Lytechinus pictus: one gene and its partner. The protein of the gene in region 2 interacts with the protein of the main gene of each other region in a biochemical or structural test. Links are inferred from orthologs where the notes say so. Each region holds a gene or a part of one and is shown on either strand. Other genes may lie near its edges.

Region 1 (7,006 bases), on a different chromosome or scaffold from region 2:
TCTTTTTCTCCTTTCTCTTTCCCCCTTGATTCTCCCTTTCTCCATCTCTTTGTCATGTTCCTTTCCTCCCTGTTCAATTGTGCACATCAATCCATATTAAGAATATTCCCATTTTAACAAACGTGTCTGAGTGTTATGCTCACTTTTGGACAGGGAAAGAAAGAAACACTGATTAAAATAAGCTCAAATATACGTAGGCCTACATGTAATAGTAGCACTTGAATGAAATGGAAGTGTTGCACTTGTAAGCATAATAATTATTAATATTTTACAAATATCTAGAACTGACATCGTACTCTTGAGGTACACACAAAAGCAGGTGAAACTTTGGACCTCTCAAAGATGAAGAAAAGTAGTAAAACGATCCCAGGGGACCTTAACGGCCCCCTTAAAAATTTCTATGATAAGTCCATAAATATGACAGGGCCACGCCATAAAGGGGTGTATGCATGGGTACGCGGTTATGATATTAAACAAGTGCATGTCAGACCCCGATTTGCTGAAAAACGTGATTTCATGTATAAAGCCAATATGAATCTGTATCTTTATTTGTACTTTTTGATAATGAATGGAAAATTATTGCCAATAATTTCCATTAAAAAAAAAAAACTGTACATAATATAAAAAAAACATAAAAACCATTTTATACTGACTTTTTTTAAATTTTATATGCATTTGATCAGAATTCCTTAGAATAAAAAATAAGCAGTTCAAGGGCTTTATTTATAGATTCAAACCCAAATTTGTATTTCATGCACTAACAAGAGTGTCGCTAAGGCGAGCACATAATACGCCCGTCTGTTATGCAGAAAATGGAGCTACATGTATTGGTCAAGCAAGAAGAGTGGAAGATGGTGACTTCACCTTTGACCTCCTGACCTCAGAATCAATAGAATTGCTAGTATCATACACACTAAATTATATGAGCCTAGGTTAAGTTCAACTAAAGTTATCGCGGTAACAAGGACTTCAAAAGGGTAAGATGAAAACATGTCACTGTGATCTTGACCTTTTGACCTCAAAATCAATAGGCTTCCTGGGATCGATGCTCGAATACCATACAAACAAAATTATATGAGCCTAGGTTACGTTAATCTCAAGTTATCGCAATTTACAAGGACTTCAGAAGGGCAAGATGAAAATATGTCAGTGTGACCTTGACCTTTTGACCTCAAAATCAATAGGCTTCCTGGGATCCATGCTAGTATCATACACACAAAATTATATGAGCCTAGGTTACGTTAATCTCAAGTTATCGCATTTACAAGGACTTCAGAAGGGCAAGATGAAAATATGTCAGTGTGACCTTGACCTTTTGACCTCAAAATCAATAGGCTTCCTGGGATCCATGCTAGTATCATACACATAAAATTATATGAGCCTAGGTTAAGTTAAACTGAAGTTATCACATTTACAAGGACTGCAGCAGGGTAAGATGAAAACATGTCAGTGTGACCTTGACCTTTTTACCTTAAAATCAATAGGCTTCCTGGGATTCATGCTAGCATCATACACACTAAATTATATGAGCCTAGGTTAAGTTAGACTGAAGTTATTGTGTTTACAAGGAATGCAGAAGGGTTGGATGAAAATATGTCACTGTGACCTTGACCTTTTGACCTCAAAATCAATAGGCTTCCTGGGATCCATGCTAGTATCATACACACAAAATTATATGAACCTAGAATAAGTGAAACTGAAGTTATCGCGTTTACAAGGAAAAGTTAACGGACGGACGGACAAACAGACAGATACATGTATAAAATCTTCGCGCTTGCATTGCCTGTTAGTTGATTTGCATATTTTGTTCAAGGGTCTGAGCACGGACGCGAGCGTCGCGTAATGTTGGGGAAGTACAATAAGAAACAAGATGGCGGCGTAAACATCGGGCAAGTCTCTTCCGTCTTTTCACAATATTTTTTCATTTTTTTTGATGAATTCTTGTTTAAAAATAACAACGAGAGTGTAGAAATGTCGGAAATGAAGTTTTATCCCATGTACATGATTTAGAGCTAGATCTTTTAGAAGGAAAGTAGAAATCTCGGGGGCGAAAGTTTCAGGGTTTTTTGCGGTACACGCAGATGAATAAGGAGGACTCCCTGGCTTCGTATGAGAGTAACCTTACGTTAGTAAATGATTTTTCTCTCTAGAAGCCGCCTGGCTAGTTTAAACAGAAATATCTCTGTCAATATTTGACATCATGAGTTGATTTATGTACCATTCTTTTTCTTATTTCACAAGCTTTCCAATGGTACCAAATTTGTTGGGATTCCTTCAAGATTTCAAAAAGCAACTGTCTCCCCCACTCAAAAAAGCTAGTTTAATATTTTTTTTGACAGAACAAAATCTGCATATTTTCCCCTGTAAATTGGAATATCTCCGTCAATATATCACTATCAGACAATGAGTTAAATGAAGCACCGTTATTTTTCTTATTTCACAAGCTTTCCAATGATATCAAATTTGTTGGGATTCTTCAAGATTTCAAAAAGTCATCGAAGTCGAACTCCCTACTCTCAATTTAAACAGGAATAACCATCGTTTCTAGGGATTTATTTAACAATTTCTGAAATGTTACCGGTAGGCCCTAGGTCTATGTTACTAAAAAGTAAAAAAAAAAAATCCTAAAATCGGATTTCCGCCGAATGTTAGAACTAACATGTCTAACGTTACTGGATACTGCTAAATAGTACGGGCCTCCATCTTCCAAGCTCACTATTTATTTGTGAGTCGAGTGGAGCCAACGCAGTTCAATTCAGCGGAACAACCACCAAACGGGAATATTACAGAGTCAGAGTCTGACTCTGACAATTCAGGTCTGACTCTGACTCTGAGCTCATTCAGACCGTCATTGTCAGGCCTCAACCTCACCAAATCAAATGAACTCACAAAATACAAAACGGCTTACTTTTTTAATCCACGTCTGCATTTCCTACTTCGTGCAATATCGTACTAATTTCCGTAGATGTTCGACGCTTCTGACCGATCTGTATATCTGCTCAACACTTTTGTTGTGAAAATAACATATGACGAAACATGCCCTCTGGGTTGACCTATAGTCTTTATCAAGTCTATTAGGAAAAAAAAGACACAAATAAATAAGTCAATCGTAAATTATGAAATAATTCCACTAATTTCTTCGTCGTCAAATTTAAAGCCTTTTTTTATAGTATTGATTGAATCACAATTACAATTTGCCTAAGTAAGCTGATTTATCTTTAGATCTATAATTTTTCATAAACTTTCCTGTTTATAGACTAGATGTCATACTGAAATGGGGAATTCCAACACTCAACAGCTTGCATGCATAGAGCTGGTTCATGCATGGGTCTATGCGAACATTGTAGGTCCAAGATGCAAATGTCGAAAGTATTATTGCAAAATACAAATTCGGAGAACTTTTTCCTCCGAATCTCTCGTTGACGACACCCAGTGGCGTAGCTAGGATTTTTTTCCGGGGGGGGGGGGGCAACATTTTTTCTGTTTGTGTGTACGTGTGTGTGTACCGTATGTGTCTAGGGCGGATCCGACTTTCGCCAATAGGGGACGGGCCCAAAATTATCTTCACCTATATTTTCCCCGATCAGTCACTTCTTAGCTTTAATTATTTTTATAAAACCAACATAAATATGAAATAATCTCATAAGCCCTTTATAAAAAGTGCGAGCGCGAAGCGCGAGTAATTTTTTGTTAAACTTTCATGTATTTTGTCCTGAAAATTTAGTTCTGGGCAATGTAATTTGTGAACCTGAACAAGATGCGTATGTAACTAGATAATTACTGCGAACGCCAAGCGCGAACTGTTCTAGCATGATCGAAAAGGGACCTGTTATGACTGTTTACAGTAGGCCTATAGCGCGAAGACGGTATATATTTCAACAATGGGAGCACGTAGCGCGAGCTAAAAAAATTGACAAAGGCGACCTCATAAATGGTCATTCTAAGCACCTTTTGTAATCATAAATGGGATAGGTATGTAACTAAACAATTGATGCGAGCGCGAAGCGCGAGAGGGAGAAAATTGAGATTTTAGATCTAAAAGCGCGGGACACTCTATTAATATTATGTAAATCATGAATACATGGTTAATTGGGTATCATTAATAATGTGATCATGAAGCGTGAGCGGACAATTATTGATATTCTGATCTGAAACTGGATAATTTAAGCACATTTTAAATAAAGAACATGCAGGCTATCGCGCATGTATTAGATTTAGACCTAGAATCTGGGCATTCTGATTACATTTGTTTAATCATGAAGATCAATAATGCAAGCACAAGCTGAAAACATTTGATCTGAGTATTTTGTTATTATTTCAACAAAGGACTGGTACATTCTAAGGACATTTTGTCATCATATGAAAATTATGAATATCTTCCTAGTATTCCTAAGCTTGTCGATATTCCGTTCTGAAAAGACCCAAGTTAGTTATTAGGAATTCATGAAAATGTTTTTTTCTTATTTGTTAATCTAATATGTGTATTGACAGCGTGGAAGTTGTTAAGGCTTCAAAACTTGATATTTTAAGCTCCATATATGGCGCGAATCGCAAGCCAAATTTTTGTATAGTAACATGAAAGATTTGGTTTTTTTTTTGCAAGTCTTCCCCTCACATTATTTTATTCACTCGTCTTCCTCCTCTTATTTTCCTCTTCTTTTTTCTTTCTGTCTTTCTGTCTTTCTCCTTCTTTTTTTTTTTTCTTTTCTTCTTTCTCCTTTTTTTTGGCTCCGCCAATTTTTTTCAGGGGGGCACCTGGGGGCACACCAAATATCAGGGGGGTACGTGCCCCCAAGCCCCCCCCCCCCGTAGCTACGCTACTGACGACACCCCCATCGAGTCCCGATCGAGTATTCGTGCGAAGTTCTCACGATGTTCGTGCAAGTGCACCGTTGAAAAAAAAATGATAAGGGGATCATCTGTCCTGCAGCCAAAATATCATGCACACAAAATACAAATAAAAAATCCTAGACCGAAAACTTTTGTCTCTGTGTTATCAGTTATTGTTGTTGAGTTGTTCCAAGAATCAGTTGCGAGGGTCGATCTAGTGTGAAGATGGGAGTGTGGGGGGGGGTGAATGGGTCTTCGTCCCATCCGCCCTCCCCTCCACACTAAAGGGAGATTAAATTGATAGTGAAAAGGAGAAGCTTAGGGAAATGGAGATGTGAAAGAAAATAATTAAGGGACCAGAGCGAGCCTTTGAGAAGAAAGAAGGAAAAGGGAGGGAGAAATAAGGGAAGAGAGAGAGCTATATAGCTAGAGGCCCGGGGGCGCATTAAAAATATTAATGTACACCGTGATGAGTGACCAAATTATTTCTAAACACCCCCTAAACGAGTTTTTTTTTTGGCCCATAAAAGTTGTCGCCAGAATAGGCCTATGACCCCGGGGAAAACATACTCTAAACACGTTTGGTTAGTCTTTAAAAAAAAGCTTTGGAAAAAAACATATTATACCCTAAATATGTTTGGCCCCCATGGTTAGTCGCCTGCATTTGAGTGTCCGAAAGTCCGAGTCCACACACAAAGCTTCATATCAGGGAACAGTCGTTTTCACGAGAGTAATATTTCAAAAATCCGGGCCATAATCACACCAAATTGATATTGATTATGAAAATTTCATTTACTTCCATCAATTTCATGTAAATATTATTACAATTATTAATTCACCATTTAACGTCTCGCTATTCATTTGGAATTGTCCATTTTCACAACTCTTGTTATATGACAAACGGTCCGAAACCACCCATAGTTTCGAGACACTGGCACCTTTGTTTTTCCACTGAAATGTCCCTAAATTATAAGGATAAAAAAGTCGAAATTTATTGTCATCTCAATGCTAGATAGATTACCTACATGTTGGTATATAATACTTTGTGATTGGTATAATCATCATATGGTTACATTTCGTTTTTCTCAGAACTTTGAGATCGAGCAGACACAACATGGCATTTTGCGTTGTAGAGACCCTTTCGATTTGAAACAATTAATACAGTCCAACTCAAATTAATTTTGTACTATAAAGTTTTGCCTACTGATTATAATATAACTACAGTTTGGGAAAGCAAATATTTATTATTATCTAGTCCAGAATTGATTTTGATTTGCAAAAGGGTCTGCGTACGTATAGTATAAACTAGCAGGCCTAGCATCGTCTGCTATACGAGCGAACAGGACCGAAACTAACCAAGGAGATAGTTAGAGTGATATCTCCTTGAACTAACCATTATGCGCGAATGACAATAATATTGACCAGTCTTTCAAAACCACCCCTTGTCTTGAAAATCGGTGTTTTTGATACCCTTAAAACGAGTACACGCGTGGCCGCGTCCAAAACTGAAAAAACACCCCCTTTAAACACGTTTCTTTTGGTCACACATGTGCACAGCAATTATATGACTGGACCCACGGCACCTGACCCACGGGGAGGGGGAATAAATAATTAAAGAAACTGTAACTTAGTATAAAGAACTTGATAGGAGGGCAAGAGATAATAATTTATTGACAGATATAGACAGTGGCGTAATTACGGGGGGGGGGGCATGGGGGGCACGTGCCCCCCCCCCCCCATCGGCTGGCAAAAAAAAAAGCAAAAAAAAAAAAAAAACGGGGAAAGGGAAAAAAAGGAGAAAGAAAGAGAAACGCAGTGGGGAAGAAGAAATCATTGTATCTTATAACATATATGTTATATTATATTATATTATATTATGTTATATTATATTATATTATTTTATATTACATCATATTATATTATATTATTTTATATTACATTATATTATATTATATTATTTTATATTATATTATATTATACATATAAGAACTATATTTTTCATCAATTTATGAAAGATTAGTGGCTTAGGGCATATATACAGTGCGTCCCCCCAAAAAACTATACACTTTTGAAATGGCTGCCAAATAAAAAATATAACACTTTGGGGGAAATAACTTATAGATATGGAAAGCCAATAAAGTCAACTTTCAAGTGACACCAAAAAGTTGGAAAACTA
Region 2 (6,938 bases):
TCCACAAAATATTGCGAAATTTAAAAATTCAAAAACTTTGTTATTTGTTATCCGATTTTGATGAAATTTTCGGCATTTTGTTCAGTAAATTCTACTCTATGTATTAAGATATAGATATTTTCAGCCCGGACCATCCCTTTAACAGTAAGTTACATCTGATAGCTGGATAGACTCAATATTTTCAGTGAAATACCTTGGGAATTCACCAGCGAACCCCGGGGGGGCCACTTACATTGACGAGTGGATACCATGCGCGACCAAAAAAACACGTAAAAAGGATGTCTTTTTCACGATAGGGCACGTTACGTACGTAACGTGATAAGGGTGTCAAAAACACAAAAATAATGAAAAAATGGTATCTATTTCGCTAGGAAAATTACGTGTTTAGGGTCGAATTTGCGGGGATGATAAAACAAAATTAAAATGTTTTATAAAGGATGTCCTTTTTGCCCCAACACTTCGTGTTTAGAGTCCGATTCGCACGAGGCGTAGAAGGTGGGGTCGTACTAAACCAAATAAGGTAAAGCCGACGACCGAAAGACCCGTAACAATAAAACATTCCTGTACTTGTTTAGGGGTTCATTTCAGTGAATATTTGCCAAGGGTATCGTTTTGTTTCCAATACTTGATAAGGGTAGGGTTTCACACGCCAATACTTGTTAAGGGGTGAATTTTCAGAATATGGAAATTATGTGTTTAGGGTGCTTTTCGAGACCCCATGGTCGCGCATGGTATCCACTCGTGAATGGACGTGCCCCCCCCCCCGGGCAGCGAACTCAACATCAATTAAGGGAATGATGTGGAAGCGGAACAGCTGAATCAGTCTTGCGATGCATAATTTTGTTTCCAATAGGGTCCTGAATAGAAAAGCACATTTTGTAGAAATGTATACCAAAAAGCACATAAAAATCGAAACATTACAATAAATCTCATTAAAATGGCAAAAATAATCAAATGGATAAAAAGAATATGCATATTCATGAAGTAGAAGAGAGAGAGAAAGAAGAGAAGATGTCAATGAGGAGGAGTGGAAAGGGAAGAAGGAGAAATGAAAAAGAAAAGGAACTTAATTCGGAGGAGGGGAAGGGGGTAAGAAAGATAAAAGACAAAATAAAAAGAAGTAGAATAAATAAACTAAGAGAGGGGAGAATAAAGAATTTCAAAAATAAAAGAAAAAGAAATAAAAGGAAAATATGGAGAAGGGAATAATAAAATAAGAAGAAGAGGAAGGAGGAGGAGAAGAAGAGGGCTGAAAGTATAAGATCAATTAGGAGGAGGAAAAGAAGAAAATTTAGAAAAAGAAGATGAAGGAAAATATCAAGGAGGGGAAGAAGAAAATAAACAGATAGTACCTAACTTGTTAGAGTAGCTATATAAGTAATCTTAAAATGTGCAAAATTTCTTATTGCTTTAATGTGATAGGGAAAGAGTTCCAGTATTTTATCGCATCATTACACACTGATAACAGTTCTTAAAAATCCTTTTTCATATCAGGATATAACCTCAGCTCATGCTTCGCGTTCCCATTACATGAGACAGGATGGGGGCCGGGGCAGTCCTCCTACGCATACATTCGTAATTCCGAAACTTCGTTATTCCGAAGGTTCGGATATTCCAAAGGTTCGTTATTCCGAAGGTTCGTATTTCCGAAGGTTCGTAATTCCGAAGGTTCGTTAGTCCAAAAACGAAATGAGGTTCGTAATTCCGAAGGTTCGTTAGTCCGAAAAAGAAATGAGGTTCGTAATTCCGAAGGTTCGTTAATCCGAAAAAGAAATGAGGTTCGTAATTCCGAAGGTTCGTAAGTCCGAAAACTAAATGATTAACTAACCATATTTCGTTTTCGGACTAACGAACCTTCGGAACAACGAACCTTATTTCGTTTTCGGATTAACGAACCTTCGGAATAACGAATCTTCGGAATAACGCCACAAATGTTCGGATTAACGAACCGGCTTTTACGTTTTCGGATTAACGAACATCGAGGTATAGGTAATTTGCGTGTTTCGGAATTACGAACCTTCGGAATAAAGAACCTTCGGAATTACGAACCTTCGGAATTACGAAGTGTAACCAGTGCGTCTTCCTATATGAACTTTACAAGTTTGTTAAAAGAGTTAAAACACGCAGCTAGTATATTTAACATATTAACAAAGAGCCATGCTTAAAAGACAAGACAGTACACGCAAACAAGAAGTTGGTTTCAATAAAAAGAGAAAATCCAACAAGCTAAACACAAAATCGGATGTAAAAATAAGAAAGTTACGATTTTTTTTAGATCATAATTTCACAAAACGATTGTTATGCACATCTTTGCCGGAATGCAATTAAGGGCGCTGATGACGTCATCATCTCGCTATTTATTTTACATTTTATACGCTATGATTTTTTTTCCTCATTGTCGAGTGAAACAAAGTTTTATTCTTCCAACACGTGTGGGCCTATACCATTATGGATCAGTATACTTGGTCATTAATGTAGGCCTATACATAATTCAAACATTTAAAAAAACAGTAGGCCTATTAGTGATTGACATCATCGACTCTTTCAGATCATTTGCATGTCACTGGGTTGTGCATAAATAACTGTTTTGTGAAGAATAAGCAAAATCAAAATTTCATAACTTTCTTATTTTACATCTGATTTTGATTAATTGTTTAGCGTTATGCATGTGTCATTTTTCTCTAAAGCTGAATCAAATCCACTTCTGCGGGTGGATTTAATTGACCTTTGATTCTATAGTGAACATTAAATCCTGATATTTATAGCACCAAAGTCAAACTATATAAGTTGTTGAAGATCGTGTGGAGTGGAGGGTGGAGGGGGCATGCAGGCCGGTAGGTAGTTGCTTTCCATGTCGACATAATAAGGTTGAAGAATGATAATGTTGAAGAATGAAATAATAATGAAGAATGTTGAAGAATGTTGAAGAAATAATGAATAATATTGAAGAATGAAAAATAAATTGAAAGGTTATTATGTCGACATGGCAAGATCTCGCCAAGTTGATGGCACTTTAAAGGCTCCCTAGTTTCGCTTGATTTCACAAAACAGTTAGGCCTATATAACCTATGCACATAAGGTTGGTATGCAAATGAGGAGAGTGATAGTCATCCACTCACTAGTTCTTTTATATTTCATCATATGAAAATTGAAATATGAAATATTCTAATTTTCTCCAATTGTCAAGTGAAACAGTGACTATTTTCTCCCTGAACATGTGTGGAGTTAGCATTGTTTAATACTATATAATTCGGTCGGCCGTCCCTGTGGTCAAATCTGTATAAAAAAATGAAATATTGTATAGTTCAAATAATAAAACACAAAAGAAATAGTGAGTGGAAGACATCATCGACTGACTCATTTTCATGTCACTGAGCTGTACGTATCACTGTTTTTTCATAAATAAGCGAAACTTTGAACAGCCATAACTTTCTTATTTCATCCGATTTTGATGAAATTTTCAGTGTTTTGCTAGTTTGATTCTTCTCTATTTATTCAAATCAACATTTTGCTGGGATCGATGGACTTGACCTTTAATAGAACAACTGTAAAGTCCATAATATGGTATTAACGTCATTGTATACAATTTTTAAACAGCCCTGCTTTGCTTGTCTCTATTTGGCGTTGTCTTGCATGAATAAGGAACGACCACGCCCATTAATATGATGCCGTCCAAACACCCCGGTCAAAAAACATGTGGACCTACGCAATCCATCACGGAAAAGAAAGATATGTAGGTATTTCACTTTCATGATGATAAAAACAAACACATTAATTAAAGTTTGGGTCATGAATTTCAGGATATAGACAGGCATGGATCATCATGATGTGAATAATAGGTTGAATTATGACTGTATAGGGGTAAATTAAATGGCCCTATATGCATTGCACTTGCCTTTTGAGTTTTTGGACGAAGCGAAAATGACGTCATCGTATTGGTATACCGGAACTCCCTTAGCAAGTTCTTTTCTTCGTCAGCTGTGTAGTACTGGGCTATGCTAACATGCGTGTGTACTACTAGCTGTCTATGGTAAATTACTAAAACTACATTGTCATCGTTGTCACGTTGATTCAGAGGACAAGTTCACAAGTTATTTCTTCCAATAAGAAAGGGACAATATTGTTGCAGTCCTGACACCTTAACAAACTCAATGTTTTTTGCAGGTAGGTAAATCGGGGCGGGTAAATAGTCCAGTCTGACTCAGTCTGACCACTTCGTGTGGCGCTGTAACTGTTAGTACCGGTATAGGCTATATCGGAACAACAGGTGGTGGCTCAAATGCACCACTAACAACGTTAATCATCTATAAGATCGAATGGGGTGTTGCAAGAAACTTGCGGTCAAGCAGTTAATTGCAAATTAGTGATTGATTGCTAATCTGCTCCTTGAAACACGAAATCTAATCTTATTTGTTATAACTGATCTATAATTGCAACAGAATATTGCGATCATGGCGATCGATAGCAAATATTTTCTTGCAACACCCCCTTCTAACAGTAGAGGCGCACGGCCAATAGGGGAGACAATCTCCCACATTGGAGACTTGCTTTGCAAAAGGACAAAAGAAACAACACCAACAAAAGCATGATGTTTCCACCCAAAATTTTGTCTCACTGAGGTCAGAAGCCCATTTGTTTTGTGTGTGATTGACAACAAAAATCCTTATCAAAACAAAAGTAGACGGTGAATTTTTAAAGTAGACAGTGAAAAGGGGCAATTTTTCATGAGGAATCTGCTTATCACATTTTTATTTGCCGCCAAGGTACCGGTAATCCTTTTTCAGCAAATGTAAACAAAGGAAATTGGACTCCAAAACTGGAGACTCTCTGAAATTGGATACCCAAATTCTTTACAAAAGTCTCTGATATTGGAGATAATCTCCCACATTGGAGACAGTCTCCAATATTGGCCGTGCGCCTCTACTGTCTAATAACGTTAATAATAGGCCTACTCTTTCAGTCATTGAACAAGGGTACCCTGTTGGTGTTCATCCTGGTTACTACTACTAGTACTACGTTCTGGTTGGCAATGTGTGGCCCATTTTTACTTACTTACTTGGATTTCCTTGGATGTAGAGATGTAACTAAAGGAAAGCTTGTAGTTGTACTTGTAGTAGCTTATTTGCCCCTCGTCACGTTGGATAGTCTCTGGTAGGGTAAAAACAATTAGTGGATGGTTTTTCCAGTGCCTCTCAATAGCTGATTTGAACATATTGACACTTAATGCAGAAACTGCTTCCTCTGGTAAAGCATTCCAGTTATTTTTACTCCTAATTGAAAATGCATTTTGCCATTTTTGCAATTTGCATCTGTTTTCCTTGATTTCATGCTGTGTGACTGTGACCTCTGGTTCTGCTATGAACATCAATTTCAAAGAAGTTGTTTAGGTCAATTTGATCAAGTCCTTTTGAAATTTTGTATATTTGGATCAGTTCAGCTCTTTGTCTTCTATGTGATAGAGTAGGTAGATTTAAAGCCTTCAGCATTCCAGGATAGTCTAGATGACGGAGATGAGGCAATTAAAATTTAGTCTGGTTACTCTCTGTTGTACTTTTTCAAGTAGATCTTCATCTCGTTTATATACAGGAGCCCATGCAGAGTTGCAATATTCCAGAGTAGGAATTTTTTTCTTGTCCCTATGCCTGTGGATATATATGCCTGATTTTTTTTGTACACTGTCAGTGTCCTGTTTACATGTACTTATACTGTGTTAGATCTAACGTTAACTCACTCATTCAATGAACAAAGTTATGATATATATTAAGCCTGAGTCGAATCGATTTTAACATCGGTGTTCGATCGATGTCATCGAACACCGGTGCAGATTTTGCAAAATCGGTGCATCGAAGAAAAAAAAATACGTCGGCCGGCCGCGGATTCGTGTGTTTCACACAATCAGTCATCAAAATATCAGTAATGTCCAACTTGATTACTACTTACTTGATTTCTATTGCCCCCAAAATGAAACCGATTGTGTAATTTATGATGCCTAGTATTCACCATTAATTTGAAGTTTATTTCGATCATAGTTCGAGTCTTACTCGTCTGCTCGTGCCGAGATAATTTATGCACGGTGAATTCATGAATGGCAGTCATGGCCATCGATTGTGCATGCGCAGTACTGTTCTTTAATCAAACCAGAAAATGGCCGGAAATTGACGCAATCAACGTAAAATAAATCTTGCTTTCATGAACAATATTAATATCATGACCACAGAACATTATTTAATCGTAATATTTAACAATAATTTGCATATGATAATCATTAATATGAATTCAGAGCTTGATGTGAAACGTTCAAGTATTTCTTTCAATTTTCAATGGCGGACATCTCATGACGATCGACTTGAGTCGAGTGAGTGCACTTGTCTAAAAAAAAGAATTATCAGGTCAGGATTGATTCTCGAACATTGTCTACATGCAAAAACTCTTTTCAAAATCGTAAAATCACCATATAATAACATTTTACATGACAAAACAGAGAAAATTGCGTTTGATATTTTTTCCCATCAATTTGAAGCTAGTTTGTGCCCAACTTTTGGCTCTGATTTCATGAATGGAAAATATGTCACACGTCATCAAATAAACACGCATGCGCATTGTGCTTCTTTTCTCGGAGCTCGGAGGAGACGTCGGGGAGGCGTCCAGAGATGGAATAACAATTGAAATATTGCCAGTATTAATTCTTCCATATGAACATAACATACTTTGCTGACATCGTCAATATTCTTAGTATGATCATAAAATCTTGTTAAATCGTAATAATTTATATGAATTTAGGGCTCGATTCGAAACATTCGTATTTATTTTGATCGCACGCTCAATTGTGTCCAAAAAAAAATGGGTTGTCAGTATCACGATTAATTCTCGAACATCGTCAGAACTCATATTCCACAATCTTTCCTCACAATCGTCATATCAGCATTGAATAGCAATTC

Evidence for each region.
Region 1: the proteins of unconventional myosin-VI-like (region 2) and tax1-binding protein 1 homolog form a complex in vitro, tested with the Homo sapiens proteins (5 studies listed by BioGRID, with this or other methods). The link is inferred for Lytechinus pictus from reciprocal best matches to the Homo sapiens genes MYO6 and TAX1BP1.

What each region holds. Positions count from the first base shown.
Region 1 is NC_087247.1:54,054,243-54,061,248, forward strand, and holds the start of tax1-binding protein 1 homolog, read right to left. Parts: upstream 3,072-7,006; 5' UTR 2,909-3,071; intron 1-2,908.
Region 2 is NC_087248.1:24,456,619-24,463,556, reverse strand, and holds the start of unconventional myosin-VI-like, read left to right. Parts: upstream 1-3,895; 5' UTR 3,896-4,164; intron 4,165-6,938. UniProt on the Homo sapiens protein: Myosins are actin-based motor molecules with ATPase activity. Unconventional myosins serve in intracellular movements. Myosin 6 is a reverse-direction motor protein that moves towards the minus-end of actin filaments.